2 linked regions of the Rattus norvegicus genome follow. The protein of the gene in region 1 purifies or fractionates together with the protein of each later gene. This does not show direct contact. Links are inferred from orthologs where the notes say so. Each region holds a gene or a part of one and is shown in the gene's direction. Other genes may lie near its edges. The genes, in order: Cebpa and Mrto4.

Region 1 (15,058 bases):
TTGAGGGGCTTAGTCTTGAAGGAGTAGGGTCTACTCATAAGATCAAATGCTTACATTGGGGCTATCACCTTCCAGCTCTTGATTCTGTACCAAGTTTGGCCTCTTGCCTTGCTCAGATTTGTTGAATGTACCAAGGGTACACGCCCTTGGAATCAGCAGGAAGATAGGATAGGGTTGGGATAGTGAGGTCAGAGGAGCGAGGCCATGCTCAGCAGGCTGGCCTGGCCAATCTGCAGGCTGCAGCAACCCCTTCCTACCACATGAACCTGCAGGGAAGCAGACCTGTGCCCCCAGGGAGCTAAGACCCAGCCATGCCCAGGTTCTATGTCTGGCCCAGTGTCCTTACAGATCAGACACACAATAGAGCCAGGGTAGCTTCAGGGCCCAGCTCTAGGGACCTTCACTGGCAAAGACTCTTGTCCTGCCTGGATTTCCCCCAAGAACATAGGCTCTTTCTCCTCCTTCCAAGACACTTTTTTGTTCAGCCAAGCCTCTGGGGATCACATATGCTTGGGGGTGGGGGATGGGGTGGGCTCTCTTTCCAGTTAGCCATAGGCACTGCTTCGTGCAGTCTGGCATTTTGGGAAGTGCTTCAAGGGGTTCTGAATTGGGTCTGCTTTGGGGAACAGAGGTTAGCCCATGGGTGACAGTCCTCTCAGGCTGGGTTCTAGGAGGGAGTCTGGGTAGCTGCTTTCTTCCACATAGTTCATTCTGTGTTCATTTAACAAGTATTTGAGGTGCTCCTCTCAGCCAAGGCCTGTTCTAGTCGGGGGGTGGGGGGTACGCAGAACAGGACAGAAAAGGTCCCTGCCTTTTGTGGAGCTGGGACATGTAAAATGAGTAAACAAGACCATTCTCTGAGTGAGCTACGAGGAAAATAAAACGGTGTGGTGGCCCAAGAGCCATAGGGGGAGGGTATGGCTTACACCTTTCTGAGAAGGTGGCACTCAGGGTGACCAGAAGGAAGGAGCTGTGCCAACCTAGGAAGAACACTTCAGGGAACCAGAAGAACCAAGCGCAGCCCCCCAGAGGCCAGGCACGCTTGTGTGAGGGGAGGCAATGGGGAATTAGTGCTGCATTCATCCAGAACCTTCCTTCCTCATATACAAGGTGTTAAAGAGGGTTTATGTCGCCGAAGTGTGCTGTTTTGAAGATGCTGGGCCTCTCTTGTTGGAGAGAGGAGAAGACAAGCAGGCCAAGAGGAACAAAACTGTTAGTGGCTGCGTAGAGGCTCAGTAAGGGGGAGGGGTGGCCTGCAAGCATGTAATATGTGAAGGAGGGATTAACTGGGGGTGCATGTGCTACGTTGCAGGGATGAACGTAGGGTCTCTCACGTGCTCGGCATGGTGCTGCCACCGAGCTGTACCCGAGGCTCTGGTTTTACTTCTCACTTTGAGACAGGGTCGTACTAAGTCACCCAGTCTGACCTTGAACGTACATCCACTCTAAGCAGCTGGAATTCAAGGCCTGCACTACCTGGCTCTCACATATGGGTTTCCTGCCCACTGCTCTGCCTCCCAACTGGATCCGGGATATCCACATAGATGGGGTCATTGCTCCTCTGCTTGTGCTGACTAGCTGCTGGCCAGCCCAGGGCATGGTGACTGTGCCTGGCATATGTCTGGCCACACACACGCAGCCTCAAGCACAAGGGTTTCCACAGTAGCTGGCCCATCATGCTCTCTGGTGGGGATCCCCTTATGCTCCTCTTGGACTTGGGAGTTACTTGCCCCAAAGCTTAGAGCCAGTTATCTAGACTCCCATGGGCCTCTTTACCAGGCGGTAGCCTGTGTGTACATCCCCAGGACCAAGCAGACAAAACACAGGCAGCATTTCGACCCTGTGCTGCAAAGCAATGGCCTGACCTAGGACCTAAAGACCGGCATCGAGGGCTCTAAGACAGGGGAGAGAAGGGCTTCCCTGGCATATATCTATATATCTTTATATCTATATGTGTGTGCACATATATGTGGGTATATGTGTGTGTTAGTGTGTGTGTGTGTGTGTGTGTGTGTGTGTGTGTGTGTGTGTGTGAAGAGAAAAAGGGGAGGATGGAGGAAAAGAGAGTGAGAGGGGAAGAAGGAGAGGGAGACAAGGTCTCACTGTGTGGCCCTGACTGGTGTGAAATTCTCTTTGTAGACCAGGCTTGCTCAAACTCACAGAAATCCACCTGTCTCTGCCTATCAAATGGATTAAACATGTGTCCCATACATCCCCATCACTTTTTCTAAAGCTAAATTCTAAGTCAAAATCTGGTCTTCCAGAGTATTCTGAAATTTGTCTTCTGCTTGTTTTGCTGTACTGGGGATGGAAATACTGTACAAGACTCTACTGCAGAGCCATGCCCTCAACCTTTTATGAATGAAGTCAAGGCAGGAGCTCTACCACAGAGCCACACACCTAACACCTCACTGAGAGTTTCTAGGTAGGGGCTCTACCACTGAGCCATGCCCCCAGTCCCTCACTGGGATTCTAGGCAGGGGCTCTACCACTGAGCCACACCCCAGCACCTCACTGGGGGATTCTAGGCAGGGGCTCTACCACTGAGCCATACCCCAGCACCTCACTGGGGGATTCTAGGCAGGGGCTCTATCACTGAGCCACACCCCAGCACCTCACTGGGGGATTCTAGGCAGGGGCTCTACCACTGAGTCACACCCCAGCACCTCACTGGGGGATTCTGGTTGAGCACTACCACTTAAACTATATCCCCAGCTTTGAAGTAAATATTATTTAAGACAGGAAATCTAGAATATATTTTATCTGTTTCTTGATTTTGCACATTTTTGAAGGACGGTGTTTGGGTTTGGTTGATCTCTCTTTTGTCTGGTCTATCTTTCTTTCTCTCTCTCTCTTTCTTTCTTCTCTTTCTTTCTTTCTCTCTTTCTTTCATCTTTCTTCTTTCTTCCTAGCTGGCCTGAAACTCACTACGAAGCCTCAACTGCTCTTGAACTCTCAGTGAGATTACAGAACCTGTGATTCTCCTGCCTTAGCCTTCCAGTGTTTAGACTATGGCCATGCATTCATTTAATACCAAATTAATTATTTAGTGTTATTTATTAAATACAAAATTGCTGGCTCAGTGGTAATTTGGTGTTTAATAAAACATGAAGTGGGGAGTTGCAATTTGTATCATTGTTCTCGGCCCCTTAGGCATATGGAGAAGACACGCCCATGTTCAGGTTTTGCTTTAGTGGGTGCCTCTTTGCTGGATGGCGGTTCTGGGGTTCGCCAAGCAGTTTTTATACCAAAAATGCCATAAAGGACATCTCCCAATTTGCTAAATAAAACTAAGTGCAGTTTGGTTTGATTTTTTCTTCTAGAATCTCTGCTTTTGCTTATCTGCGAATAGCATCCAGCAAGTGGGAAACAATACAAACAACAAAGGAATCACACATGAGTCACACTCGGTGAATAGGAGAAAACTGGGGGAGCTGATTCTTAGGAACTCAGGATATATACATACATACATATACACACACACACATATATACATATATATCACATACTTTTGGTTATGATCATACTGGCATCCACAGCTACATTTCCCAACAGGCAAGTCACTTCTGGAGTGTGTTCGGTAGAGAACGATGCCACACAACGTTGCCTAAACCAGACTGAGAACCCCAGCGTGAGTACCACACCAGGCATCCTATAATTGCACTGAAGTGAGTTTCCGGCAAAAACGGAACCCCAACAGTGTACACGACTAGATAGTGCAAGAACAGTTCGAGACGGTCTTATTTACCAGTATTGACAACTGGCCCAGATCTGAGCTCAGCATATACGTTCCCTAATCCTTCCACCAGCCCTACAATGGATTACTGAGGAACTCAGAACTTGTCTAAGGTCATCTGGCTAGTAAATGATGAGGCAGGTATTTTAATGGGCCTTTGGCATCCCTCACTTGCTCAGGGCCTCCTGATAAGATGTGTAATCTACTGGGTGATCCAGGAGCTTCTCCAATAACTAATAAACTGAAAAGAAACACTCTACCCATCAGGCCAGTGAGTCCCCTATGCTCCTTGCTTCAGGGGCTTGGAGGAAGACATATATGTCACAAGATGTCATCTCCAGCCAGGAGTCTCGCATCTTGTTTAGATAGGTCCTAGGTTGCCTCTGTAGCCTCTCCTGGCAGAGGGAGTGGGTTGAAACAAGTCCTTTCAGTGTGGCCTAGACTGTCACTGAACCTGTAGTCTTCCTGTTGAGGCTCCAGGTATGTACCACCACACCCCTTTGTGGACCCCATGTTTCTCACCTAGCCAAAAGCTCCTCTCCTTTCTACCTGGAGTAGGCTCTCAGAAACCCGGACAGGGAAAAAAAAAAAAAAAAACCTCCCAGACCAGCCACAAGAGGATAAATGCTCTGAGAGATAAAGCCGGTTTGCTTACCTGGGATGGCCTTGGCCATCAACCCAACCCTGTCTGTGGATCCAGCCTTATCTAGGCCCCTCCCTAACTCTCCCCACACTCCAGCCTGTCAAACACCCTTGTCCTTTGTTACCAGAACAGGCCATGCTCCCGGCAGCCTCTCCACCTTTGCACCTGCTGTTCCCTCCTCCAAGGGGGTGGGGGTGGGGGGACGCTTTTCTTCCTTATCCTTCCAGAGAGTTCCTGCCTACTTCAGGAAATAGCTCAAAGTCTCACGCCTGCATGAAACCCTCTCCCATGGCCTGTTTCAGTCGGCCGCAGTGGGATTTCACTGAGTTGTGTAAAGGTACATATTTGACCCTCACTCAGGAGACTGGAAATCAGAGTCAGTGAATCCGGCAATCAGAGGCTGCCTTCTCCAGAGCCCAGGGTTCCTTGGGGCTGGGTGTGAATACAGCCTTAATGACGTTCCCACCTCTAATTCAAGAGACCATTTCATGGGCGATGGCTCCCCCCCTCCTTTGGTGTCCCCCTCTCTATGATGACAGTTTTCCTACCCTCTGACTGTATATGACATATCTGTCCCTCTACCTGTGTCACATACAGGGACACTTCTCATGCTCCCCTGGGTTTTTGGAGCAGTAAAAAGGACTCTGTCAGCTACTCCGGACCTGCAGGCTTTGGGGCAGGAGTCCCAGTCCCCGCCCCTCACCTCACACACTTATCCCACCCTTTTTCGTTTGGCGACTATATTGTGCTCTGGCTTCCCGCAACCCTAAGTCCCTGTGCTTGCATAAGCGAGGACAACTAAAGCCATCAGACTTCCACTAATGTCTCTCTTAGCTAGGAACTTTCTCACAGTGTTCCCTTTCCCCTCAGGGGAAAAACAAACAAACAAACAAACAAACAAGCATTATATTTAGCTCAGTAGAAAGACTGAAGATCCTTCTCGGCTTTTAAGGATTTCTCTCCAGGGGACACTCCAGGTGCATGGTGTATTAATGGGTCGCGTGCATCTGGCCCAGAGAGCGATCCCCCGCTCATACCAGGTTGTTTATTTAGTGTATCTGCTTTCTATTCGCTCTGTTCAAAAGCATCAAGCTAAAAATATCTTGTTTATGCGCTCTGGACCGAAAATGAAGCAGTCGGGCCATTAATCACTGAGAATATGTTGAATGAGAATTTGATTAAAGTACAGGATGCGTCCTCCAGACGAAGTCGGTTCTTTATACTGTAAACCACAGTGGAAGCACAGCAGACCTCCCCAACAGTTTTTAGCCGCTCCTCTTTGAGCCTCCTGGGCGGATCGTAGCGCCTTTCCTGACCTAAAATGGCCATTGCACTGGGGGGTCTTGACCTTGCGCACCCTAGTGTCGCAGGAAGACCCCCAGCAGCTTGGAACGAGGACAAATGGAGTTCGAGAGGACGTAAGGCCTCAATTCAAGAAGCCGCCAAAGGGTCTTCGGGGTGCAAAAACGAGAGACGTGGGTGCTCACCAGGCCCCTTCTGTCCCGGACCTCCGCGGCCGAGATCCAGGTGGAGAATGAACTGGACGCCACGTGGCTGGGGAGCCGATGCTCGCAAACTCCTACCCTCAGCCGCGAGCCTGTAGGCGGCGCGGTGCGGAGGATCCCAAGGACTGGACAGGGGGCTCCCAGTGGGTGCTCGAAAGGCTCGGTAGCCAAGAGCTGGACACCCGAGCTACCGAGATTAGTTCCCCTCTGAATGACAGTAGGGAAAGAAAACTGTGACTTCAGGCCCCTGACTATGGGCCCCGCCTGGGGATCACGATCCCCGATTCAAATTCACTTCTCTCACTCCAACACCCTGCCCTCTCCCCGCCCCTGCGCGGTCTCCTTAGTGTCTTGTTCCGCGAGTCCCGGAGGACCCACCCGCTGGTCCCGGCGTGTGTGTGTGTGTGTGTGTGTGTGTGTGTGTGTGTGTGTGTGTGTGTGTGTGTGTGTGGTGGGGGGGGGGTCCGGAACATTTGACTAGAAGCTCCACGCAGGGTAGCAGCGTCCGCCTCATAAGCCTAGCAATCCTATCGCGCTGGCCTGGAGACATAATTAAAAAGAAAGTTTTCCAGCCTAGGCGGGTGGACCAGCCAGGTCCACTAGGCTCCGGGTTTAGCGGCCGCCTCCGCTCCCCGCCGGGTCCTAGCGCCCTACTACTCTGAAGAACCCGTGGGACCCTGGAGTTCTAAAGAGGCTGGGCGAAAGAGAGGTGCTCTGCTTGGAAGTAGTGGGGTCGCCTGGAGTTCAGAGATAAAGACGCACAATCTCAGCACTCTGGGCCTCGCCTTTCGGCAGTGCGCGCTAGGTTGCTGGTCCAAAGCAGTCCCTAACGTCCTTGCGCCGCGGCTCTCCGCCACAGCTTTTTAAAAATCCGGGTGGGAGACAGGCCTAGTCCCAGCTTTTAAGACAAGTCTGCACCACGGTAGCTCAAGACTAACATCCTCTCTCCAAACGCCCCCCAACCTTCACCTCCCCTTGCTCGGCCTCTGGATGCTCCCCGGCTCCCTAGGGTTGGCTGGAAGTGGGTGACTTAGAGGCTTAAAGGAGGGGCGCCTAACCACGGACCACGTGTGTGCGGGGGCGACAGCGCCGCCGGGGTGGGGCTGAGCGCCGCAAGCCGGGTTCGCCTAGCAGCGCAGGAGTCAGTGGGCGTTGCGCCACGATCTCTCTCCACTAGCACTGTGCTCCCGCCCCACTCACCGCCTTGGAAAGTCACAAGAGAAGGCAGGCTCTAAGACCCAGCAGGCACCATCCGGCAGGCGCCCTCCGCCCAAGACCCGCTTGGACACCAGGGGGCGATGCCCGACCCTCTATAAAAGCGGTCCCCGCGCGGGCCTGGCCATTCGCGACCCAAAGCTGCGCGGGCGCGGGCGAGTTGGGGTACTGGGTGGGCGGCGGCGACAGCGGCGCCACGCGCAGGCTGGAGGCCGCCGAGGCTCGCCATGCCGGGAGAACTCTAACTCCCCCATGGAGTCGGCCGACTTCTACGAGGCGGAGCCGCGGCCCCCGATGAGCAGCCACCTCCAGAGCCCCCCGCACGCGCCCAGCAACGCCGCCTTTGGCTTTCCCCGGGGCGCGGGCCCCGCGCCGCCCCCAGCCCCACCTGCCGCCCCGGAGCCGCTGGGCGGCATCTGCGAGCACGAGACGTCTATAGACATCAGCGCCTACATCGACCCGGCCGCCTTCAACGACGAGTTCCTGGCCGACCTCTTCCAGCACAGCCGGCAGCAGGAGAAGGCCAAGGCGGCGGCGGGCCCCGCGGGTGGCGGCGGTGACTTTGACTACCCGGGCGCCCCGGCGGGCCCCGGCGGTGCGGTCATGTCCGCGGGGGCGCACGGACCCCCTCCCGGCTACGGCTGTGCGGCGGCCGGCTACCTGGACGGCAGGCTGGAGCCCCTGTACGAGCGCGTCGGGGCGCCCGCGCTGCGGCCGCTGGTGATCAAGCAGGAGCCCCGCGAGGAGGACGAGGCGAAGCAGCTGGCGCTGGCCGGCCTCTTCCCCTATCAGCCCCCGCCGCCGCCGCCGCCACCGCACCCGCACGCGTCTCCCGCGCACTTGGCCGCCCCTCACTTGCAGTTCCAGATCGCACACTGCGGCCAGACCACCATGCACCTGCAGCCTGGCCACCCTACGCCGCCGCCGACGCCCGTGCCCAGCCCTCATCCCGCGCCTGCAATGGGTGCTGCGGGCCTGCCGGGCCCCGGGGGCTCGCTCAAGGGCTTGGCTGGTCCGCACCCCGACCTCCGCACCGGCGGCGGCGGCGGCGGCGGGGCCGGCGCGGGCAAGGCCAAGAAGTCGGTGGATAAGAACAGCAACGAGTACCGGGTACGGCGGGAACGCAACAACATCGCGGTGCGCAAGAGCCGAGATAAAGCCAAACAGCGCAACGTGGAGACGCAGCAGAAGGTGTTGGAGTTGACCAGTGACAATGACCGCCTGCGCAAGCGGGTGGAACAGCTGAGCCGTGAACTGGACACGCTGCGGGGTATCTTCCGCCAGCTGCCTGAGAGCTCCTTGGTCAAGGCCATGGGCAACTGCGCGTGAGGCGCGCGGCTGCGGGACCGCCTTGAGCCGGCCCCCTGGCTGGGGACCCGGAGGATGGTTTAGGGTCGCTGGATCTCTAGGCTGCCCGGACCGTGCAAGCCAGGACTAGGAGATTCTGGTGTCGCCTGAAAGCCTGGCCTGCTCCGCGTGTCCCCTCCCTTCCTCTGAGCCGGACTCGGTGCGTCTAAGATGAGAGGGAGTCAGGCCGTGGTGGTTTCTCCTTTAGACCGAGAGACTTCTCCGCGGAGCTGAGCTGGGAGCCCGGCAGTTTTAGTATTAAGGAAGTAACCTTGTGCCTTGGATACTCAAAACTCGCTCCTTTTCCTACCGAGTAGGGGGAGCAAACATGTGCCTTGATATTTTATTTGGAGGATTCCTGCTTCCTCCAGAGCTGCAGCAGGCCCCCATGAGAAAAATGAAGGGTGCAGGCCCAGGGCAGGAGGAAGATTCAGGAAGCTGAGGTCCCAGCAGTCCCTGAGCTGCCCCTCCGTCCCTGTCCTTAGAGGGGAGGGACTTAGGGAGTTGGGGATTTGAGTCTTAAAAGTGTCCCCACCCCTAGTTACATGGAGATGGAGGGTTCTTAGCCCCTTGCTTTTCGCTCCTCCATCTACATTCCTCCCCCCACCCCCAGCTTACAACAGGCCAGGTTTCCTTGGTGAGTTCGTGGAGAAGGGGGCAACACCCCCAGTCAGACCAGAAGGCTGAGTTGTGAACTGGCCATGTGGTTAAGCAAGTGGTAGAAGACAGGGACCTTAGTTTCTGGTCTTGGGGTGGAGGATGAAGACACTGGGACCATCCGCCTTGTGTGTACTGTATGTCGCCAGCCGCTGTTGCTGAAGGAACTTGAAGCATAATCGATCCATCCCAGAGGGACTGGAGTTATGACAAGCTTCCCAAATATTTTGCTTTATCATCTGATATCAACACTTGTATCTGGTCTCTGTGTCCCAGCGGTGCCTTGTGCAATGTCAGTGTGCGCGTCTATGCTAAACCACCATTTTATTTGGTCTTTTGTTTTGTTTTGGTTTTGCTCTGATTCTTGCCAAAATGAGACTCTTCACGAACGGCCAGGGGAAGGGGCTGAGTGAGGCTCTCATTCTTTTTGGTTTAGGGATGTTTGGTTTTTTTGTTTTGTTTTGTTTTGTTTTGTTTTCTTTCGCCTCCCAGAGGACCAATGAAATGAAGTGGGCTTCTCCCTCTCCCCTAGTTTTCCAAGGGTGTATGTAGTTGTGGGTCTTAGCTTCCTTCCTCCGGCTGAGACTTATACTGGCTTCCCCACCCACCCACCCCCATCCCCAAAGGCCCTGGCTCTGGGTCTGGAAAGAAGGCCACCTCCAGCCAATTTGTACACAACCCTGCCACTGGAAGCAGGGGTGGACTGCTTCCTTCTCTTCTTTTTTTGGGGGGAGGGGACACAAAGTTTCATGCTAGATGTCCTATGTATTATATCTATAATATAAACATATCAAACTCAATTTTGGTGTCTTTTTAAAACCAGAGAGAAGCCACTTGTAAGGTTTGCTCTGGGCTGGGTTCCACTTGAAAACAGCATTTTCTGTGTCTGAGGTCCTCCGTTTGCATATGTGGAGTCTCTCTTTACCTGGGTGATGTGCCACGGCAGTCAAGGGATAAGGACTCTAGGCTGAGAACACCGGGAGCCTAAAGACCAAGTCCTCTGGAACTCGGGGGTGGAGGGGTAGTGTTGTCTTAGGGTTGTGGTCTCTCTCTCTCTGCATCCTAGAACAAGAGGGAGCTGGAAGAACACCTCTGCTTGACAGGAGCCCTCTTAGAACCTCTCAGCTGCGGGGACCCTTTGGCTTCATTCCCAAATCACTCAGCTGCAGCCCTAGAGAGCAAGAACCACACCACCTTTGCCCAGCCTTCCAGTGGAGCCCTGCAAAACAGGACTCTTCACCCCTTACTGCCCACTTCCCAGGCTCCAGTGCCACCCAGGGCAGCAGCTTGGGTGCTGAGCCCCCTTTGCACCTGCCTTACCTTAGCCTACCTAGATTCATCTGCCCCACTTTCTCCATCCTGGCAAATGGGATTGGCTTCTAATGATTCCATGTCCACTGCTACAACTGCCCCATGAGATGCAGACATGGAGTTGGCTGTGGTAACAAGCCGGTAAGGAAAGGGTGGCCGTCCTCGCCATCCTTGTGGAGCCCAGAGGCCACTGGGCTCTTCACCTGGACTGTGATAGCTGAGCAGCTTACAGTATATATACTGGTGAGAAATGACAAGTTCTTTTAAATTCCGCAAACTTTAGTGTGACCAGCCTTTGTGGTTAAGTTGTCCCACCAACCCCTTACCCCTCCTCCCTCTCTGCCCTGTGCCTTGCCACCTCCTCACCCATAGCTGCCCTTGGCAGAGGAAAGGCCAAAGCCCAGTGAGGAGGCGGTGGCCTGCCCCGTCAGCCTGGGAACTAGGGAGGCAGAGCCCCACCGCCTGCCTAGAGGCTGGGGCAGGCCGTGGCTTGCAGGCCCCAGCAAACCCTCTGAGTTCAGTGTGGATTCCAGTTTTTCTTGTTTACAGGGAATGATCCTTGAATTCCCCCTTTGCTCTGAGAACAGGTCCTTGGCTGATCGGGGGAGGGGGCCCTCCTGCTCTCCTTTTCCTAGCACCTGACATGGGGGTGATCTTCTCTCCAGGGGCTCATGGAAGGGGCACCCTTCCTGCACACCCAACCCAAGTTTCCTCATAGGCCGAATTGGGAACAAGAAGGGCCCAATCAGGGACGCCTCCGGTGTGGTCTGTGTTGGGGGTGTGGGTGCAGTTTAGGGTGGCCCTGTCCAGTTTGTGCTCTATCTCTAGTTGGGAGTGGCCTTCCAGGGAATTCATGCTTCGTGAGTAACTGAACGTACTCCTCAATATTCATTGAATGCCTTCTTATCCAGGGCCTGTGCCCAGGATTAAGGCACCACTGAGAACAGACTAAGGTCTTGCATTTGAGGAGCTGACAACCCTTTGGTCCCCAAGCCATGTCATCGTGTCAGGGTAACAAATGCACTAAGGGGCTTTTCCTGATGTGGAAACAGCAGCCTAAGAAAGCCCGGTGTCTAGTGAGGCCAGCACACCCCCCCCCCCCCCATGGACTCCGTCCTCAAATGCCTGCAAACTTCCGCCAGGCATGAGCCCTTCCCAGGACACGGCCTGGCTGGGGAGACCACTTCTTTCTTTGGAATACTCCTGAGCCCTGTGTCCCCTGGCAGCCTCAGGAGAGAAACAAGGGCGGGAGTGAGAGAGGGAGGTGACTCTTTTGCCACCAGATAGCTTAATGCTGTCAAGGATGTCACCCTTATCTCTTGGATCTCCTGGTAATCTGTGAACATGGGGTTTGGCCCTGACACCTGCCATGAGCCACTGGGAAGGGTGAGGAGTGTCCACCCCTCCCAGGCTTCCCGCCCCCTCCTTCCCAGCCCAGGTGGAACCTGCCTGGCCTCCACAAGCTGCAGATTTCACAAGAGGGGAGGGGGCCCCTCATCTTGAAGGTCAGGGGGAATAGAAACTCTGATCTTCCTTAACCAAGGGGCAACTTCTTCCAGGGCGCCCACCAGCTTTCTGCAGGCATGAAGTATTGTTCTTGCCTGGATGGCACTAATGCTTTAGTTGCTGCTTTGCTGTGCTGGTAGATAAAGGAAGCCCTTTTCTCTCTCTTTTTTTTTTCTCCCATCGCATGCCCTTTTCTTCCTCCCCCTTCCCCTCCCCCTCCTTCCCCTAACCCGCAGTCTCTTCCTTGCTTCTATAATGCCACCTTTTCTTTCTCAACCCCACCCCTCCCCACTCTTATCTCCCCCACCCCCACCCCCACCCCCCACCTCGCTCCCCGTGGATGGAACCCTTAACGAAAGCTGTAACCTAGGGAAGAAACCAATTCACTATCAAAGCATCCTAGCCCCATCCCAGAACAATTAAACAGCCAGATGGAATCTCTGGGAAAACGCATTAATAACGCGAACAATCTGTGTAGACCAGGCAGGAGCCCAGGAGCCTGGAGCAGGGGTGGGGTTTGGGGGTGGTAGTGGGCAGAGGAAGGCGGGGGACGCTGGGATGTATGCTTCCAACCCCATTTTGCCCATGTGGTGCCCAGAGAGGCACAGGACCATCCCAAGGGTATGCTAAGTCTGCCAGCAGCTGCGCCGTCCCCTCTGGCCCTCGCAAGGCCCACTGTACGCCCTGGATCCTGGTGGCTGCAAACAGAGCCAGACAAATGTGGAACCCATTACTCAGCCAGCCACAGCCACCGCCAGCCCCTTTCTGGCACCCGAACCCTTCTCTTCTCTTCACTTTTGTCTTTATTTATTATTTTTCTAGCTTTCTGGCCCCACCCATTAAGAGCAGGCCTCCCCGGGTGTACGGAGGCCTTCTTCTCTTCCTTTGCTGTGCCCACATCCACTCCCCGTGTGGACACGGAAGAGCTGAAACTGGAGCTCCCCACGGAAATGAAAAGTCCAGGGTCCACATTGTTCAGCTGCCTTGGGAAAGGGGCTGGGCGTGAACCACAGGACCCGCTTCTGTCGTTTCCGAGTCTGGTCTAGGTAGAGCTATGAAGTTCAACTCTTCCTTAGCAGTTCCTCTTTTGGTGACTACTGTTGGCAGCGACCCACGAAGTACACCGAGAAAGAAAAAAGCTCCCCCTCTCCCCGCACCCCTCTCCTCTCTGTGCTGGGAATTAAACGTAGAGCCGCTTGCAAACTACGCAAGTGCTGTGCTACTGAGCTACAACCCGGCCTCAGTCATCATCCATCCTGTAAGTCTGAACCAGGGTCTCCTTAGGTAGTAGCTCAAGCTGGGCTGGAACTTGTAATCTCCCTGCCTCTTAGCCTTTTCTGTGCCCAGGATGGCCAAGCAAGCTGCACCTTACCTGGAAAAGGTGGTGTTTTCTTTTAGCTATCAGGTTGGGTAGAAATTTACTTTTTAACAAGTGCTTGCCTGGCATGAGGACCTGAGTTTGGTTGGTCAGAACCAACATTTTCAAAAGAAAAAAAAAAAAAAAAAAAAAAGGAAAGAAAGGCAGAAAGGGGGAGGGGACAGGCTGTGGAAGCAGAGAGAGGTGGATTGGCTAGCTCACCTCGACTGTTTTTTTTTTAATTTTTTAAATTTATTTTATGTATATGAGTATATTGTCTGTCTTCAGACACACCAGAAGAAGGCATCGGATCCCATTACAGATGGTTGTGAGCCACCATGTGGCTGCTGGGAATTGAACTCAGGACCTCTGGAAGAGCAGTCAGGGCTCTTAGCCACGGAGCCACCTCTCCAGCCCCCTCACTTAGACTGTTTTGAGAGTTCCAAGCCAGTAGAAGACATGCACTCCCCCCCCTCGCTTCTTCCTCCTCCCACCTCTTTCTGCACCTGAGGAGCAATGCCAGAGGTTACATACTGCCCTCTCCCTCCATGCATCCTGCACACATGCACCTGAGTACACACGCACACATAGTCATACAGAGAGAGAGTGCAAAAGAGAGGCAGGGAGAGGAGAGGCAACACAGCATTGTTTGATTCCTACAGACGAAGAGAGCTCTTTTCTGACCTTTGTCTTCACTGTCTCTTGGTCTCCATCCTCCACCCTTACCCTCCCTCAAGGTCACCACTAGTTCTTAGAACTCCTCTGGGTCCTTGCTTGGCGTCTTGCTGACCTTGTCTCCAGCAGACATCCAGTATCTAGCTCAGGGCAGGTCATTGCCTGTGTGTCTGAATGCTAGTATCTCCTTCAGCTTATCTCTCTCCTTTTTGGAACACCCTTGCTCTCTTCTTTCCAGTCAACAGTCTACAGGGTCGGGTAAAGGTCCACTGAGTATGGGCAGAGGGAGCCATTGTCAGGAGCAGCCCAAAGGACAGATCATAGACGTCCACCTTGTCGCCTCCAGTAGATGAGTTCTTGCTTCTAGAAAATGACTTTTACAGAACAAGACTCTAGTGAGGCAATGTGCCCAGCCCTCGATAGTACTGGATAGCAATGTGGTATCAGTTTATCATCAGACTCAGAGAGTGGCCAGGCCTCCGTGGAGGGTCATGTTTTACAGGGCCACTGGGTAGGGAAGACCTGGTATGCTAAAGAAGAGAGCGGGGAGGAAGGACAAGCTATCTGAAGTCTGCTGTGAACTGCTGACACTGAGGAGGTGAAGGCCCACTATTCGCCCTGGAACACTGGACACAACAGTTGAGAGTTAAATGTATTTCAGACCTCCATGCCTTCCCTCTTCTCTCCTCTCTAGGATGCCTGGAAAGGTCTTCATAAAGGAGTAGTAGCCTGAAAGCCCGGATGCTAGCCATCAAATGTTAACAGTCCAGTTTCAAGACGCATCAGCGAGTGACCCAGACAGGGTCTGAAGAGAACCACCACAGCCTGTCCCAAGCCTTCCTTGACCTGAAGCTATTTCTACTCCCTGGCAAGGGGCATCCCCACACATTTCACTCGAAATAAAGCCTCTCCTTCCTAAGGAACCCCTGTCCCCATTCAAAGTCATAGAGAGAGCCTCACACTGCTCTGTTTCCCGTGAAGCCCACCAAGAGCCCTCTCCCAGAGCTGACCCCTACTTCCACCGCCCTGCCACAAGTACTGGGTCCCTCTTGCCGATAAGGAAATGTGACCAACTTCTAGTGGCTTTCCTGTGCCCGTGTTGGGCA
Region 2 (15,104 bases), on another chromosome or scaffold:
CTGCCAGGTTTTTGCTAGAGAAAGAAGATGAGAGAACCCTCAGCCAACGGTTACTTCCCAGAAACTTCTGTCTTCTCAGCACAGTCAGAAGGCAAATCTTACTTCTTATGGCCCACCCTGCAAGCCTATGAACCCGTAACAGACTGGGGGGGAGTAAGGTAGCCATTAGGATCCTGTTCCTACTGTAGAGATGAGAGGAGAACTCATCTGTCTGCAGTGTCCTACCCATGAACAGGTCGACATACCCTGACACCGACTGTCAGGGATCCCATAGTACTCACCACTTCAGTGCGACAGGTCATGACTGCAGCCACTGTCTTCTCCCCTGTGGTAGCAAAGCTGACAAGTGTGGCCTGCAAGGAAAGTGAGATAGCAGCTCCCAGACAGTGGGACTTAAGGCAAACGTGTCAAGGTTCAAAAGTTCTGCCTCCTACTAGCTTTGTCCTGGAAGACCCCTCTAGTCCTAGCATCTGCTCGGCCTGCAGTTACCTGGGGAAAGTTTTTGAGCAGAGTCACGGCGCCGTGGTGGTAGTGCAGTAGAGCATAGTGGCCCGGGGACAACTGCAGGAAGAACTGGGCCCGAGAAGGAGCCACTGGGCTGGGCTGCGTGGGCAGCACTTGGGGCTGGAATCCACTTCCAAATTCTAAGTCAGGAGACTAGGGAAACAAGAAGAAGGGTGAGAAGCTTACCCCTCCCACACCATCAAGACCATGGTTGTCTGCCCTGCTTTGCCAGGGAGCAGTTCTAAACTAGGGCAGATGGCTCCAGAAGCCCCTATTCAAGGTCCCCAAAAGAGACCATGGCTTGTAGCCTCTGACAACAGGTCAGCCAGAGCTAACCCTCTCCCCATGCCTGTCACAGCTCAGGAAAGCATGAGCAACCTCACAGGGAAACACTGCTTGTCCCTAAGCAATCCTGCCAGTCCTCCTCCACCCTACAGCAGGTGACATCTCAGACCAAAAGAGCAGCCTCTCACCTGCAGGGGGATCTGCCGCAGTTCCCACTCCGTCTCCAGGGCCAAAGTGTGGAGCGAATGTGAGCTGGGGTCTGGGCATACCAGGACAGCCTCGTCTACAACACCACAGGCTCCAGTCAGGTGCTGCAGCCAGGGGGTCCAAACCCTGACCTGAGGAGAGATTTTACAACACTCATGAAGATCACCATGGTCCCTCTCAGCAAATCAGCAGAATAACTGCTGGAATCCCGCCAGCTCAAGCTCAAAATGCATGCCTGGCCAAGCATGGTGGCACACCTTTAATCCCAGCACTCGGAGGCAGAGGTCCAGGAATCTGTGAGTTTGAAGCCAGCCAGCCTGGCCTACACAGTGAGCCTGAGGGTCACAGGGGTTCTTCCAGGCTGTACTCCCATCCTTTCATAGCTCCCTTAGAAACTCTTAAAGAGACAGTGCCTAGGTCTGAGTAGCTCTTCAGCCAGCCCAAAAGAGCACTGTGTGTTAACAAAGTGCCTTAATCGCACGCTGAGGACAAGCCAGCATCCCGTAGCCAGCAGCAACAGACGGGCATCAGGAACACAAGCTGCTCTTGCAACTGCCCTGCCAAGTTCCTTGGACCCCCGTGAAAAGGCGGCCTCCATCAACTCCTTACCACCCACAAGGAGCCAGGTGCCTTCTGTACCTGCTGAACAATCTCTCCATCCTCCACGTTAAACTTGACGATGTTCACATGGCTGAAGGGAACGATGCCAAGGGCCCACACCACCCCGGAGCCGTAGGAATACACCATCTGGTAGAGGATGCTGTCACTAAGGGAGGGAAGAGAGGACAAGACCACCAGCTGAGCCCTTAGACCTGAGCTTTCCCAGGGGCTTTCAAAATCAAGCTGCCATTTCTGAGTGAGCTGTCACTAACTGAAAAGCCCCAACTGGAGTTGTTTGGCTCACACAGCCTTTGCTTTTGGATTCTTTGCTGTTACTGTTTGCAGTGTGAGGGATCAAACCCAGAGCCTCACAAATGCTAGGCAGGAGCCCCACTACCCAGCCCCACCCCACTACCTGGCCCTGCCCCCTGTCCAGCCCTGCCTCTAGTCTTGCTTTTGTCTTTAATTTGAATTTCTCATCAACATGCTCAAATTGCTATCACATATATAAACCAGACTGCCAGCTTTTCCTAAGTGACAGATGTGACATGCCTACTTGTATGTGGGGCGCACACCAGATGGCTGAGTAAGGCTGTGGAAGTAGGCCCACCCCATCAGGTAAGCCAGACTCATGGATGTTTTACTTAGTTCTCTAGAATACTGACTTTTGGGTATTTGGGTTTTTTTGTTTTCTGGCTTTTAGTTTGTTTTTCTTTCTTGAAAAACAAGCAAACAGGGCTGGAGAGATGGTTCAGTGGTTAAGAGCACTGTCTCTCTTCCAGAGGTTCTGAGTTCAATTCCCAGCAACCACATGGTAGCTCACAACCATCTGTAATGGGATCTGGTGCCCTCTTCTGGTGTGTCTGAAGACAGTGACAGTGTACGCATATAAATAAAATAAATAAATCTTTAAAAAAGCAAACAAACAAAGCTCTCACTTTATAGCCCAAGATGGCCTTGAACTTGTTATCCTCACATCTTGGCTTCCCTCTAGAGTTAGGGGGGTGCGTGTCTGTGTGTGTGTGTCTGTATGTATGTCTGTCTGTCTATGTGTGTGTGATGCACACCACCATGCTCACCTAGGGATTTGACCCATTTTTAGTAAGGCTAAGAACCAAACAAAGGCCAAGCAACTATGGTTCTTTAATCCTAGCACTTGGGAGACAGAGGCAAGCAGATCTCTGTAAGTTGGGAGGCCAGCCTGGTCTACAGAGTGAGTTCTAGTGATAGCCAGAGACACACAGAGAAACCCTGTCTCAGAAAACCTAAAAGGAAAAAAAAAAGAGCCAAATGCAGGGTGCAGGGCCCTGTGCATGCCAGGCAGGCTCTGCTGCCAAGCCTACCTCCAGCCTAACTTTAGCAATTTCACTTCTGAAAATCTTTGGGAAACGATTACAAGTGGCTGAAGCCAACGCCTGCCTGACCTCTACCCACCCTCGTTTTCATGCTTCTAACTCCCAAGACCACTGGAAACCACTTGGAGCCTCCCTCAGCCCCTCCCCGCAGTGGGAACCCTTACCGTGAAGACAGTATCAGACTACTGTTAAAAAGCTGCAGAAAGGCCCAGAGCCCTGTGCACTTGCGCAGGAGCAGCCCCCTCATGTGGCAGCTCTAGTGCCCCAGTTTGAAACTTCTTCACCCTTCCAAGTACACTCCAAGTGTGTAGCCAAGCCTTTCCACTCGGACCCATGTGCACAAGCATACCACTCCCACGCAGTGCCAACGGAAGGGCACTTGGCCAAGCACCCTCAAGGAGACAGAGCATTAGAGGTCATCACTTGGGAGGAGAGAGCCTTACCTTTCTGGCAGATGCTCCACCCACTTCAGGTGCCCACTAGAGAGGTGATGGAGAGTGAGGGTCGTCTTCTTCAGAACCGCAACGTACCTCACTGTCTCCTGGAGGCCCACCAGCCCGAGTGCCTGGAAACTGAGCACAGGTGTGGTGAGGATTGCAGCTGGAATGGCTGCCCCACTGCTGCCTCTGGTGCTGCTCGCTGACATTTGCTAAGTCAGAAAACAAATATACCTGGATCCCAGTACCGGTTCGCCGAATCCTGGCTCTGCCAACCTGAGAATCTGCCTTGCAACCACTTAGGTGCACTGCTCTCCATCCCCCAAATCTCCTTCAGATCACATCTTCCTCTCCCAGCTAACCCTCTAGCATGCCCCCATCAGGCAAGGCTATCACTGAAAGCTTAGAACCATGGTCACGACTAGGCATGAGCCTGATGACAGAGCTGTCTCAGATTTAGAGTGTTCTCATCCCCTGTGGTCCACCAAATGTTAATCCACTGAACTGCTACTATAAGATACCTAAGCAGAGGCCAGCGAACCCACAATTAATCTCAGCAAAGGTGAGGCAGCAGGCCACGCTGTTTTCTGACAGAGAACTAAAATATGGTGTTTCAAGTATGTTGGTACGGTTCTGCCATCCCAGACCTTGCAAGGTAGAAGCAGGAGTGTCAGAAGGTGAAGGCCAGGACTGTCAAGATGGCTTGGCAGGTAAAGAAAGGCACTGGCTGAGCAAGGCTGACAACCCAAGTTCAATCCCCAGAACCGACAAAAAGGTAGAAAGAGAAAACTGGCTCCAGAGTTGTTCACTAACCTCTACCTCACATGGCATGCACGCTGTCCTTCCCACAACACATCACCCCAAGATACACACACATGATGATAACAACTAAAACTAATTCAAGTCCAAAGTCAGTCTATGTAGCTACTTTGAGGGTAGCCTGGGCTACATGAGATCTGTCTCAGCACAAACATTCAGAAACATGGAAAGCTTGTATTGTGTCCTTCTACCCGGAACACGGCATACAAAGCCCGTATGTTCTGTTAAGATTCAACAGTGTTCAGGAACAGAATAGACACTGACTGTGTCTAGGACAGAGCTGTGCACCTAACAGGTGACCAATTAGCAAAATCTTAATTCACAGGAGATCATTTATAGATTCTCTTTCCACAATCTCACTTGCTCAGTGAATAAACACGCATGGGCTACAGCAAGCAAATCAGGAGTGGGCATCTGAGGCAGGTGTGGTGGCACACACTTGGGAAGTAAAGGCAGAGGGATCTCTTTGAGTTCAAAGCCAGGCTGACCTAAGTATTTCCAGGATAGCCAGAGCTAGATAGACTCTGCCTCAATGCGGGGAGGGGATGGCCAATCTTCCAGTGTGCCTAAATTCAACACCCTTCTGGCCTCCAAAGATACTGGACTCATGTGGACCATGGATATACAAGTGGCCAAAACACCCATATACATAAGAAAAAAAACTTTAAAGGATGGGCATCTATGTCTCTTCAGTGATCCCTGAGGGAATTTTTTAAAAAAAAACTCAATGGCCCAGAGTTGTTACCTATCCAGGTCCCTTCACTCAGCCACCATGAAGCACCACTTCTTCCCTACCTGCCACTGTCCAGAGTTATCTCCCAGTTCAGGCCCCCGATGTTAGTCTCCCAAGAACGCATGATGCGCCCTCCATTGGATACAGTGATTGCATCTGGAAGACAGAAAGACCACTGCCATATTGGAAACTTCCTCAGTTGGCTCACAAGGGCTGAGCCATGACCCTGCCTCCAGCTCATGGATGTACACAGACATTGTTAATCGGGTCCTTTGTTTCTTTCACTGTCAGACGCAGCTCTCCTCCCTTCCCCATCAGACCCATTCTAAGAACCAAGAAATGGGAGATGGGGCTGAGGCCACAATGGAGACCAGGAGGGCTCCGCTTACCTTGCCCATGGACCAGCATGGCATCCACAGCCCCTTCTGCTGTACCCTTGTCAACATGGCGCCACACTGAGAGATAAGAAAGTCAGACATTGCTATGAGTGACTGTGACCCAACAAGACCAGGAAGGGACTGAGACCTTCATCTGCACAGCATTATCTAACTTTAATTAGGAAACAAGGAGTACCACTAACTGCTATAACCTAGACCCACTCACTGGACAGTAAGGGGGGAGGAGGAGGAGGAGGAGGAGAAGAAGGGGCTCAAGAGACAATGCTTTCCTCCATCTGGGGTCTCTGCCCCTCCAGCCCACTACTACCCCATCAAATACATGAAGGAGCAACAATAAGAGTAACAAAATCCACCCAATTTCATAAGAAAACAGTCTATAAGTTCTCTTTTCACTAACAATCCCAGGGATAACTCAAGAGTAGTCATTTAAGCCTTTACTACAAAACAGGAGAGAATGTAGCTTTTGCAGTATTATCTTAAGGACCTTCACAGTTGAGGGAATGAATTACAAAGGCTAATACCACAGACATACATATTGAAAGATGACAAGACTAGAGAAGCCATGGGTCACTCGGATTCACCCAGTCAGCATCCCTCCCTGAAGCCTCCAGCCTCCAGAGTTCACTCACAAATCTCTCCAGTCCGAGAATTCAATGCTGCAATCACATTCTTCTCTGTGGCCACAACCAACTTCTTGGATCCAGGGGAGAACTCCAAGGAGGCAAACTTGAGCTTCCCAACGTACTGCTGTCTCCTGAGGACCAGTCCAGGGGAACATCAGGGCCCAAAGACAGTGGCTGGTTCACACCACCACATCTCCCTCATCACATGCAAGAAATGTGTGCTAATGAAAAGCTTCAAGCATACAAGACTTCCGTGCAATGTACTCAGAAGCAAAAGAAGATAGGAGAGAATTGGAACCAAGTACATGACAGATAATAACAGTCTTACAGCTAAATGTAACACCTACGTCCTCAAGCAACACCCCCAAAGAGTCCATGGCCTAATTAATTTTTAGCTGTAACAAATAGACTTCCAGGGGCATAAGTGCCAGCACACTGCTGCAATGAGAAAATACTGCTCTGTGAGGCACACCAAGCAAGCCTGGCATTTAGACTGCATCTCTCATTTACACCACTGTGTTGTTTAGTTTGTTTTAAAGGAGCTTCTGGGGTTTTTTTTTTTTTCAAGATTTATTTATTTTATGTATGTGAGTACACTGTCGATGTCTTCAGACACACCAGAAAAGGACATCCAATCCCATTACAGATGGTTGTGAGCCACCGAAGTCCAGAAAGACTAATGACTGTTGGGACCAGAACCCAAAATGAACACCTTTTTAAAACAAAATAAAACAACAAAAAAAACCCCAAAAACTATTGTTAGTTGTCTGTCAATTTCCCCAGGACCATACAACCGACGTGGGTAAATACTTATTCAATCTGAAATAAGCACGGTCTGAAGGGAGGGGGGTGAGTGAACGAATGTCAGGCCGATAAATTTGGAGAGGGAGAGGCCACAATGCGCCCGGAGAGTCCCTCAGAGAAAAAGGCTCACTTTAGAACCTGGTCTAAGTGACACCAGCTAGTTCTAGGAGGATGAAAGTTCACTTGTGGGCCAGTGACCTCGAACCCAGGAGATCACAAACCTGACAGCCACGAAATCGGACGTGACAGGAAAGGAGGGAACTAGTGACCTCTGACCAAAGCCCTTAAAGGGTGCCTAGATGGCAGGGCTCCCTCCACTACGGTGCAATCTGCACAGTCATAAACAAGGAGGCTTAAAAGAGTTCCTTCCGTGCTTAACATAATGCTCTTGGGTTGACGTCGGCAAACTCCTCATATCTGAAGAAGGGACGCTCTCGTTTTCATTCTGCGCAGGGTGCAACATTCATTCATTCACTTCTCCCTTAAAGCACACCTGCCCCATCCCCTGTAAGTTATATGCTCGGTCCAGCTCCATGGCAATTCTCCTTCAGGTTAGCAGGAGGGAGACAGATGCTGAGAAAGCAAACACCAACTTCCAGGAGAAGCGTCACCCGTACGCACCAGTCAAACTTGCCCACTTGGTCTTCGTAGACTGCGGCCGCAGGGACAAGTAGCACAGCACAGAGGCAGAACCAGGACTCCACAGCCGCCGCCATGATTGAAGCCCAAGCACCGCCCGCCGCCAGCCCGGCATGCACCAGGCCTCAAGCCCCTCCCTCCGGAGAGCCATAGAGAGGAACCGGTTCGCGAGGGCCTTGGTGAAGTGTTCCGGATTCGGAAGCCGCGGCGATCAGGGGGGCCGAAGGGACTGGAAGGCTCTGGAACCTGGGCAGAGAAGTGGCCTTCCAGGCCCTAGGCAGAACGCAGGCAGGGAAGAGAGGGCCCACCACACTTCGGGTCAGGCACACGAGAGAGGCAGCCCCGAGCGCCGCCCCACAAGCCTCTGCGGCACCCGGGTCCTGACGGGCCGCCGGGTCTTCCGCCGCACGTGCCTTTAGCGCGATGCCCAAATCCAAGCGAGACAAGAAAGGTAGGTTCGGGGGACCTGCGTCGTGGGTGGCGACGGGTGAGACGCCGAGGCCTCTCTGAGGAGCTCGACCGGCTGGGTTAGCGAGTTGGCGTCGGCAGGTCACCGAGAGAGCTGGAAACTGGTACGGGCCGACAAGCAGCTCCTGAAACAGTCTTATATCCCAGGGTCGAGCTCGCCAACGAGGATAGTCTTAAACTCCTGATCCTGCTGCTTCTACCTCCGGATTGCTGGAATTACAGGCATGCATCACTAAGCCTAGTTATGTTGAGTTAGGGATGGGACGCAGTAAACTCTTACTAGGCAAGCATTACCCGCCGAGCCCTGAGCTACATCCCCTGGCATGTGCGCGCCTCGGTGTGTGTTTGAGGATCTTGCAATGTAGCTCAGATTTGGTGTGTAGACCAAGAATTCTCCAGAATGTAGAGGTTTTACAGTTTCGACTACTGCATTTTTTTTTTTTTTGCTTGTTCTTAATGCTGGGGCCTTGAACTCTCTATCTGGTCTGCCTTGGCCCCAAACACTAGCATTCCAGACTGAGCCACTACATCCAGCTAGCGGGCTGGCGCTTTTGTGGATGTTAGAAGGCAAGACGGTTGAACAAAAAGGGTCTGGCTTCATCAGACTAACCACCTTAGTAGGGTGTGTGTTTGTTTGTCTCCTATACCTATATCCCAGTCAAGTAAGAATGTGTCAGGTAGTCAAAGTGGTGTATGGAGAAGGTGATACTGTTTTGCATAATGCTGTCAGGAAAAGTCTCAGCACCTAGATGACAAACGAGTAGGTCGTTTTGAATAGAGGGAAACACAGAATGAAAGGGGTCTGTAGTGTGGTTAACTTATTGTGGGACAAGAGGCCAGTGTGGCTGTAGTAAAGTAGGTTTGAGAGGAAGAGATCTGGCCTTTGATGTGGCTTTGCTTTGAAAGGATCCCTTTGGCTGCCTTGATAGTCCGGAGAATTATGAGGACAGCAAAGCCAGTGACCACCTGGAGTATGCTAAGTTGTACCAGAATCCTAGGTGTGGAGAGTCTGGGGAATGACTGGCTCATTGTGATTGCCTTTGACTGTGTGCCTTGTATAGACGGTGAGTGGCAGGCAGGGTTGATGAAAGGCCATATCACCTCCTGGGAATATCCAGAGCGTGTTACAGCTGATGTTTTAGTGAGTCCTTAGAGAGTCATTAGGATTTTGGGGAGCCCTAGTTAGATGTAAGCAAATGCCAGTAACTCTTGGAAGTAGGACAAATAGGACCTGGATTACTTTTCTTTTTTTTCAATATATAAGTTCTTTATTGTCTCCAAAAAGCCCAGATTGTATTTGGGATAAGCACCATGTTTCTGGAGCTAGTAAACTGAGGTCTCACTCATCAACCTGCTCGGTTCCCTTCTCAGACACATAGATGCCATCCAAAAACTTCCTGATAGCCTTGTTTCTAACTGTTGTGGCTTGTAGGACCTTGGTTACTTTTCAGTAGAGGTTCTTGTGCGGTCCATCTACCCCATCCCCAGCGTTACTGTATTCCTGGGTCCAGATTACGAAATTGAAGTGTAGGTCTAGAATAGAATAGAAAAGATAAGGTCCCAACAGGATGACATAGTACGTGCCTGTAATCCCACCCCTTAGGAAGCAAAAGCAAGAATTTATATCTTGAGTTCAAGGCCAGCCTAAACAGTCTTGTAACAAGATCCTGGTTTTTTATAAAAGGAAGAATTGTTCTCTATCATACCATAGCCCACCCTAGCCATCAATGGCCTGTGCACCATCCCTGTGGCAGGAAAGGGCCTTAACTAAGGTGGTGAGTCTGATCCCTCAGCCAGGTTAGGGCCCCCACTCACAGTGCTCTATCAGCAGCAATGAGCCCTATTGCCATAAAGCAGTAGACCCAGCCGTTGGCCCAAGGAACTTCTTTTGTGGTAGGGATGTATATAGGGATCTCTGGGTCCAAGAATGCTAGGTAAGCAAACTCTGTCAACCTTGAATGCCAGGAATGACAGTGTCCATTGCTGCCTCCGTCACACTTGCTTAGTTTAGCCAAGCCCGGAAGAGAGAAGCAGAATTAGTCTCCAGAGCGTCAAGACATCACTCGCTGCTGTCTCTTTTTCTTGGTTTTAGTTTCCTTAACAAAAACTGCCAAGAAAGGCTTGGAACTGAAGCAGAACCTGATAGAAGAGGTAAGTGCTTGCTCCTCCCACCCCACCCCGCCCCCTCCTATGTGTTTGGGTAGCAGAGTTGGGATTGGACTGTTAGCAGTGTCAGAGTTTCCACACCTCCCACAGTATCCCTGAGACCCAGGACTAGGTGATGCTATTGATGTTTTACAAAAGCTCGGGGTTACTAAAGCTTGTCAGTGAGTTTGTAAAGCTACCCAGTGTTAGAAGGCTGGACGTGACCCAGGGGTGACTGTAGCCTCTGTCTGCCCCTGAGCTGCTGGGTCTGGGCCAGGTAAGAGCAGTCTCCAAGTGCACAGATTCCTGTTCTTTGGAAATGGAGCTTTACCACAGGGAGGCTTCAGCCAGAAGCCTGGCCAAGACCATGAGGATGGAGTGTCTCTCCTGTTGATAAGATGAGGCTCCTTATGTTCTGATTTAGCAGGGGCTTTCCCAGTGCGGGTAGAAGTTTCTAGATCAACTAAATGGACTAAGGAAAAAGGGTGATTGTTCCACATTGGTCATGGAAAGACCACAGGGTTTGGGTCCCTGCTCACCTTCCATAGTAAGTAACACTGGTGTCAGTCACGCCAGTGGAAGCTTAAAGGCCTATGACCGCTTCTCTTGTGTGAGGCCAGAGTTGCCCAGCCCGTGCTGCGCCTCAGCTCCAGAGCCTCATGAATTGTCCCACAGCTTCGGAAATGCGTGGACACCTACAAGTACCTCTTCATCTTCTCTGTGGCCAACATGAGGAACAGCAAGCTGAAGGACATCCGGAATGCCTGGAAGCACAGCCGGTGAGCACAGTGGGAAGAGGCGAGAGCTGCTCTCATCAGAGCACTGGAGCAGGCTGACCTTGGTGTCTGCAGCTCCCCTAAGGGGCACGGCTTCCGTTAGAGTTGGCCTTTCCCTGAGCTGCTGGGACAGGATTTGTTGGTCACTCTGTGTTTCAGGAAAGTGGCCCCTGGTGTCTGGCACACTCGAGTAGAGTATCATCATGTACATCTGACCCCAAAGCAGGCCCCAGGGGCTGATGGGTTACAGTACATGTGCGGGTGGCTCTGGGGTCACTGTCTTGCTGTACCACTCTAGTAGGGATTGTTGGACACACTCCTGCCCACAGGCAGACACAGATAAGTGACTTTTGAGGCTCGGAGTGAGCTGTCAAACTGTTGGCAAGATCTGATTCTGTGGATAAGAAAATGAAAACAGGGCTGGGGATTTAGCTCAGTGGTAGAGCGCTTACCTAGGAAGCGCAAGGCCCTGGGTTCGGTCCCCAGCTCCGGAAAAAAAAATGAAAACAGGAATCCTGGGAACACATGGCTGGGTTACATGGAGAACAGGGCCTCTGGCCACACAGCGTTGGCTCACATCCTCCTTCTTCATGGTAGGATGTTCTTTGGCAAAAACAAGGTGATGATGGTGGCCTTGGGTCGAAGCCCGTCTGATGAATACAAAGACAACCTACATCAGGTAGGTCACTGGCCCTCCCTGCGGCAGCCACTGCCTCTCCTGCTCTTTTCAGCTGTGGGACTGGCCTGTGGGTTCAGGAGAACCAAACTCGGCCCAACTCTGTGTTCTTAATCTCCAGACCCATGGGGCTATGCCTTCTATAGCCTGCCCTACTTACTAGGAGTTCTGCCAACGAGAAGTGTTTTTAGGTGATCCAGGTGATTTCTATAGGTAAGTTGCCCCTGGTGAAGAAGCAGTGGTGTTCACTTGTGTTTTTCAGGTCAGCAAGAAGTTGAGAGGTGAAGTTGGGCTCCTTTTTACCAACCGCACGAAGGAGGAGGTGAATGAGTGAGTGTCTCTGAGGGAGGAAGAGGCTGAGAGTCAGGGAAAGCTGAAGAGATACAAGGCTCTTACTGAAACTACTCTGTAACCTAACCGGGGTTGTGGTATTCTCTCTGTCCTGGTCCTCCCCTCTGCCTGCCAACATGGCTACGGACAGCAAGCCTCAGACCATGCCACTCAAAGGAGGTTGGACTTCAGCTGAATGGTGGCGTTTCCAGGAACTTTACCCTCACCCTTCTCTAACTTAGGTGGTTCACAAAGTATACAGAAATGGATTTTGCTCGAGCGGGGAACAAAGCAACTTTAACTGTGAGCCTGGATCCAGGGCCGCTGAAACAGTTCCCTCATTCCATGGAGCCACAGCTGAGGCAGCTGGGTCTGCCCACTGCCCTCAAGAAAGGTAGGAAGCTGGGAGGTGCTTAGGGTTCAGAGCACTGGCTGCTTCCCAGGACCCACGTCAGGCCCCCACAGGCACCAGGTATTCATGTGATGCCATAGGCACTCGTGCAGGCAAAGCAGCACCTGCACAGATGAATTGCAGCTCGGGGACCCCTGCCCCAGACGCTCCCCTAGACCAGCTCCGATAGACACAGTTTGTCCTGTGAAGGCAGAGCTGAGCACTCGCCTCCTGCAGGGAGGAGGCTGCCACTGTCCCTCAGGGAAGAGGGCTGCATGCTTCCTAAGGCTGGGGGTGACATGGTGCTGCCCTCCCACAGGTGTGGTGACCTTGCTGTCTGACTATGAAGTGTGCAAGGAGGGTGACGTGCTGACCCCAGAGCAGGCCCGTGTCCTGGTGAGTCTGGGCCTGCGACCTGGGGGAGGGGCCGCTGCCACTCAGCTGCTGGGCACAGCCCTCTGCTGCTGACAGCTGCTCCTGCTCACTCCCCTTCCTCCACCCCTTACAGAAGCTGTTTGGGTATGAGATGGCCGAATTCAAAGTGACCATCAAATACATGTGGGATGCCCAGTCAGGGAGATTCCAGCAGATGGACGATGACCTTCCCGAGAGCGCGCCTGAGTCTGAGGGGGAGTCTGAGGAGGAGGAGGACGACAGCTGACTCTGGGAACCAGAACCAAGGCCTTCCAGCAAGTACTTCATCTCCACTGGACGCCCCCAGGACTGCTGTCGCCCCCTAGAGGGAGCGGCTGGTTTTTTTGCTATGGATAAAGACAAGGGAGGTGCTGGGCAGTGACTTTGTTTCTATAGAGAATAAAATTTTGTCTGCAGGGTGCTCCCTGTAGACAGCAGAGACTCTTTATAAAGGCCTTCGGCTGTGCTCCAGCCTAGTCGGGCTAGGGCTGGGTGGGCCAGCACTGCAGATGGCTGAGAGCACGCCTGGATTTGGGTGTCTTTGTCCGTTTGCTTGCAGTGGGTTTGCTGAGGAAAGTTAATTCTCTGGAAGCTTGATCACTTAAAACATAAATAAGCACACAGATACGTGCAAGCCGGGGGTAAAATATGAGGAACACAGGCTTGCCACAGGGCGGTGGAGGGGATTGGGAGCAAGTGGAGTTTGAGTCAGGTTCTCACTGAAGCACAGACTGGTCTTGATCTTACAGTAGTTTCTGGCCTCTGCCCCTCAAGTGCTACCACACTTGGCTGACTAGTAGTGATTAGTAGCTGTGTGCTGTGCGAGTCAGTGGTAAGGCATCATAAACCATGCTTAAGGCCAGCAGGTCCCTCCCTGGCAGCACACAGAAACTGAGGAAAGTTGTTGGACCTGTGGGTCAGAAAATCCTCAGAGTTCCTGACCTCTACCCTAGAGGAGGGATGTGGGGGTTAAACAGCAACACTGAATAAGATGGGCCTTGGGTCTTCATAATCATGCCCAAAAAACCCAGGGCAAGCCAATATGATAATGCTTGGAATGCCAGCACCTCAGGAGGCTGAGGTAGGATTGAAAGTTTGAGGCCAAGCCAGGCAGAGGGAGGCCAATCTCTGAATTGGAGGCCACTCATGGCTAAATAAAGCCTATCTCAAAAAAAGTTTGATACCAATCAACTATAAGGCTGAAAAAAGGCAGGCTTGGGGCTGGAGAGATGGCTCAGTGGTTAAGAGCACCGACTGCTCTTCCAGAGGTCCTGAGTTCAATTCCCAGCAACCACATGGTGGCTCACAACCATCTGTAATGGGATCTGATGCCCTTTTCTGGTGTGTCTGAAGACAGCTGTAGTGTTCTTATATATAATAAATAAATCATTATAGGAAAAAAAAAAGGGCAGGCTTGGTTGTATGCACCAGAAATTGAAAGCTAGAGACAAGAGACCTGATAGGAGTTCAAGGCCAGCCTAGAGTATATGGCATTTTGTCTTAAAAAGAAAAGGCCAGGGTGGTGGTGGCTCACACCTTTAATACCAGCACTTGGGAGGCAGAATTCAGGACAGCCAGGGCTACACACAGATACATTGTCTCAAAGGGGAAAGTAAGAAAGACAAGTGACATGTTTCAGCAGACCGAAGCACTTGCTGCCAAATCAATTAAAATGTTGCTTAGTACTCAATGCCCTCCTCCGGATCTGTTCTTTACTTTGACCTCCATTCTTGCCTCCTGCTATGCTATGTTGAGCTGGGGGTGGGGGGTACTTTCAGTTTCTTGTTGCCTATGCTTTGCACCCAGGATGGTTGTGGAAATTATAACCTTCAACCTGTGTAATCAGGTAAGTGAGACTTTAGTTGGGGCAGAGAGCACCTAGCCGCTGTCCACTGCTGTGGGACTCCATGGTCAGGAGGAAAGCACGCAGCTGGTGCCAGATTGAACCTGGCAGGTTTTAAGGAAAGCACTGGACCACTGCCCTCTAAAGATCAGGCACTCCTTCCCACTTCCTCTGGACCCTGGGAAGGAGCATTGACGCAAGCCTCAGGCATTCAAGAGAATAAGGCCACTAGGTCAGTTGTAGCCCAGGCTGTGACAGGGAACAGTTTTATTCAGCAGGAGGTATTGGGGCTCAGCCAGCTCTCACTTTGAAAGCAACTGGCTGTATAGAAAGCAGGGAAGAGAAAGACAGTGACCTGTCTAAAAAGGAAAGAACCAGATCAGATCGAGCCCAGGACAAGGCGGGGCAGGCAGTAAGCTGCGCCTCCCCAAGGCAGATGTATCTTAGCGGAAATAGTTGGGACACTCGTGGGCAACTAGGTTCCAGGCTTGGTCAAAGGCATCCACAACAGCTGGCTCCAGAGGCCCTTCCTCGACCAAGGCCAAGTTCTGCTCCAGTTGTTCCAGACTGGACATGCCCAGAATGACTGCATCCCCTTGGGTGCCCTGCAAGAAAGAACCTACTTTCACCATACTTCCGCCACCTGATGGCTTCCTG

The links.
Region 2: the proteins of Cebpa (region 1) and Mrto4 purify together in Homo sapiens (affinity purification with mass spectrometry; 3 studies listed by BioGRID and IntAct, with this or other methods). This does not show direct contact. The link is inferred for Rattus norvegicus from reciprocal best matches to the Homo sapiens genes CEBPA and MRTO4.

Annotation. Positions count from the first base shown.
Region 1 is NC_086019.1:96,889,354-96,904,411, forward strand, and holds Cebpa (CCAAT/enhancer-binding protein alpha), read left to right. Parts: upstream 1-7,230; 5' UTR 7,231-7,240; coding exon of another isoform or gene 7,241-7,351; coding exon 7,352-8,428; 3' UTR 8,429-9,903; downstream 9,904-15,058. UniProt on the Homo sapiens protein: Transcription factor that coordinates proliferation arrest and the differentiation of myeloid progenitors, adipocytes, hepatocytes, and cells of the lung and the placenta.
Region 2 is NC_086023.1:156,884,175-156,899,278, reverse strand, and holds Mrto4 (mRNA turnover protein 4 homolog), read left to right. Parts: upstream 1-7,540; 5' UTR 7,541-7,827; coding exon 7,828-7,855; intron 7,856-9,964; coding exon 9,965-10,023; intron 10,024-10,565; exon of another isoform or gene 10,566-10,692; coding exon 10,693-10,796; intron 10,797-11,390; coding exon 11,391-11,472; intron 11,473-11,731; coding exon 11,732-11,799; intron 11,800-12,041; coding exon 12,042-12,193; intron 12,194-12,509; coding exon 12,510-12,586; intron 12,587-12,698; coding exon 12,699-12,851; 3' UTR 12,852-14,294; downstream 14,295-15,104. Other genes in the region: Emc1 (ER membrane protein complex subunit 1 precursor), read right to left, coding at 1-14, 282-353, 490-657, 978-1,127, 1,636-1,762, 3,395-3,523, 5,003-5,096, 5,330-5,395 and 2 more; Akr7a3 (aflatoxin B1 aldehyde reductase member 3), read right to left, coding at 14,891-15,052. UniProt on the Homo sapiens protein: Component of the ribosome assembly machinery. Nuclear paralog of the ribosomal protein P0, it binds pre-60S subunits at an early stage of assembly in the nucleolus, and is replaced by P0 in cytoplasmic pre-60S subunits and mature 80S ribosomes.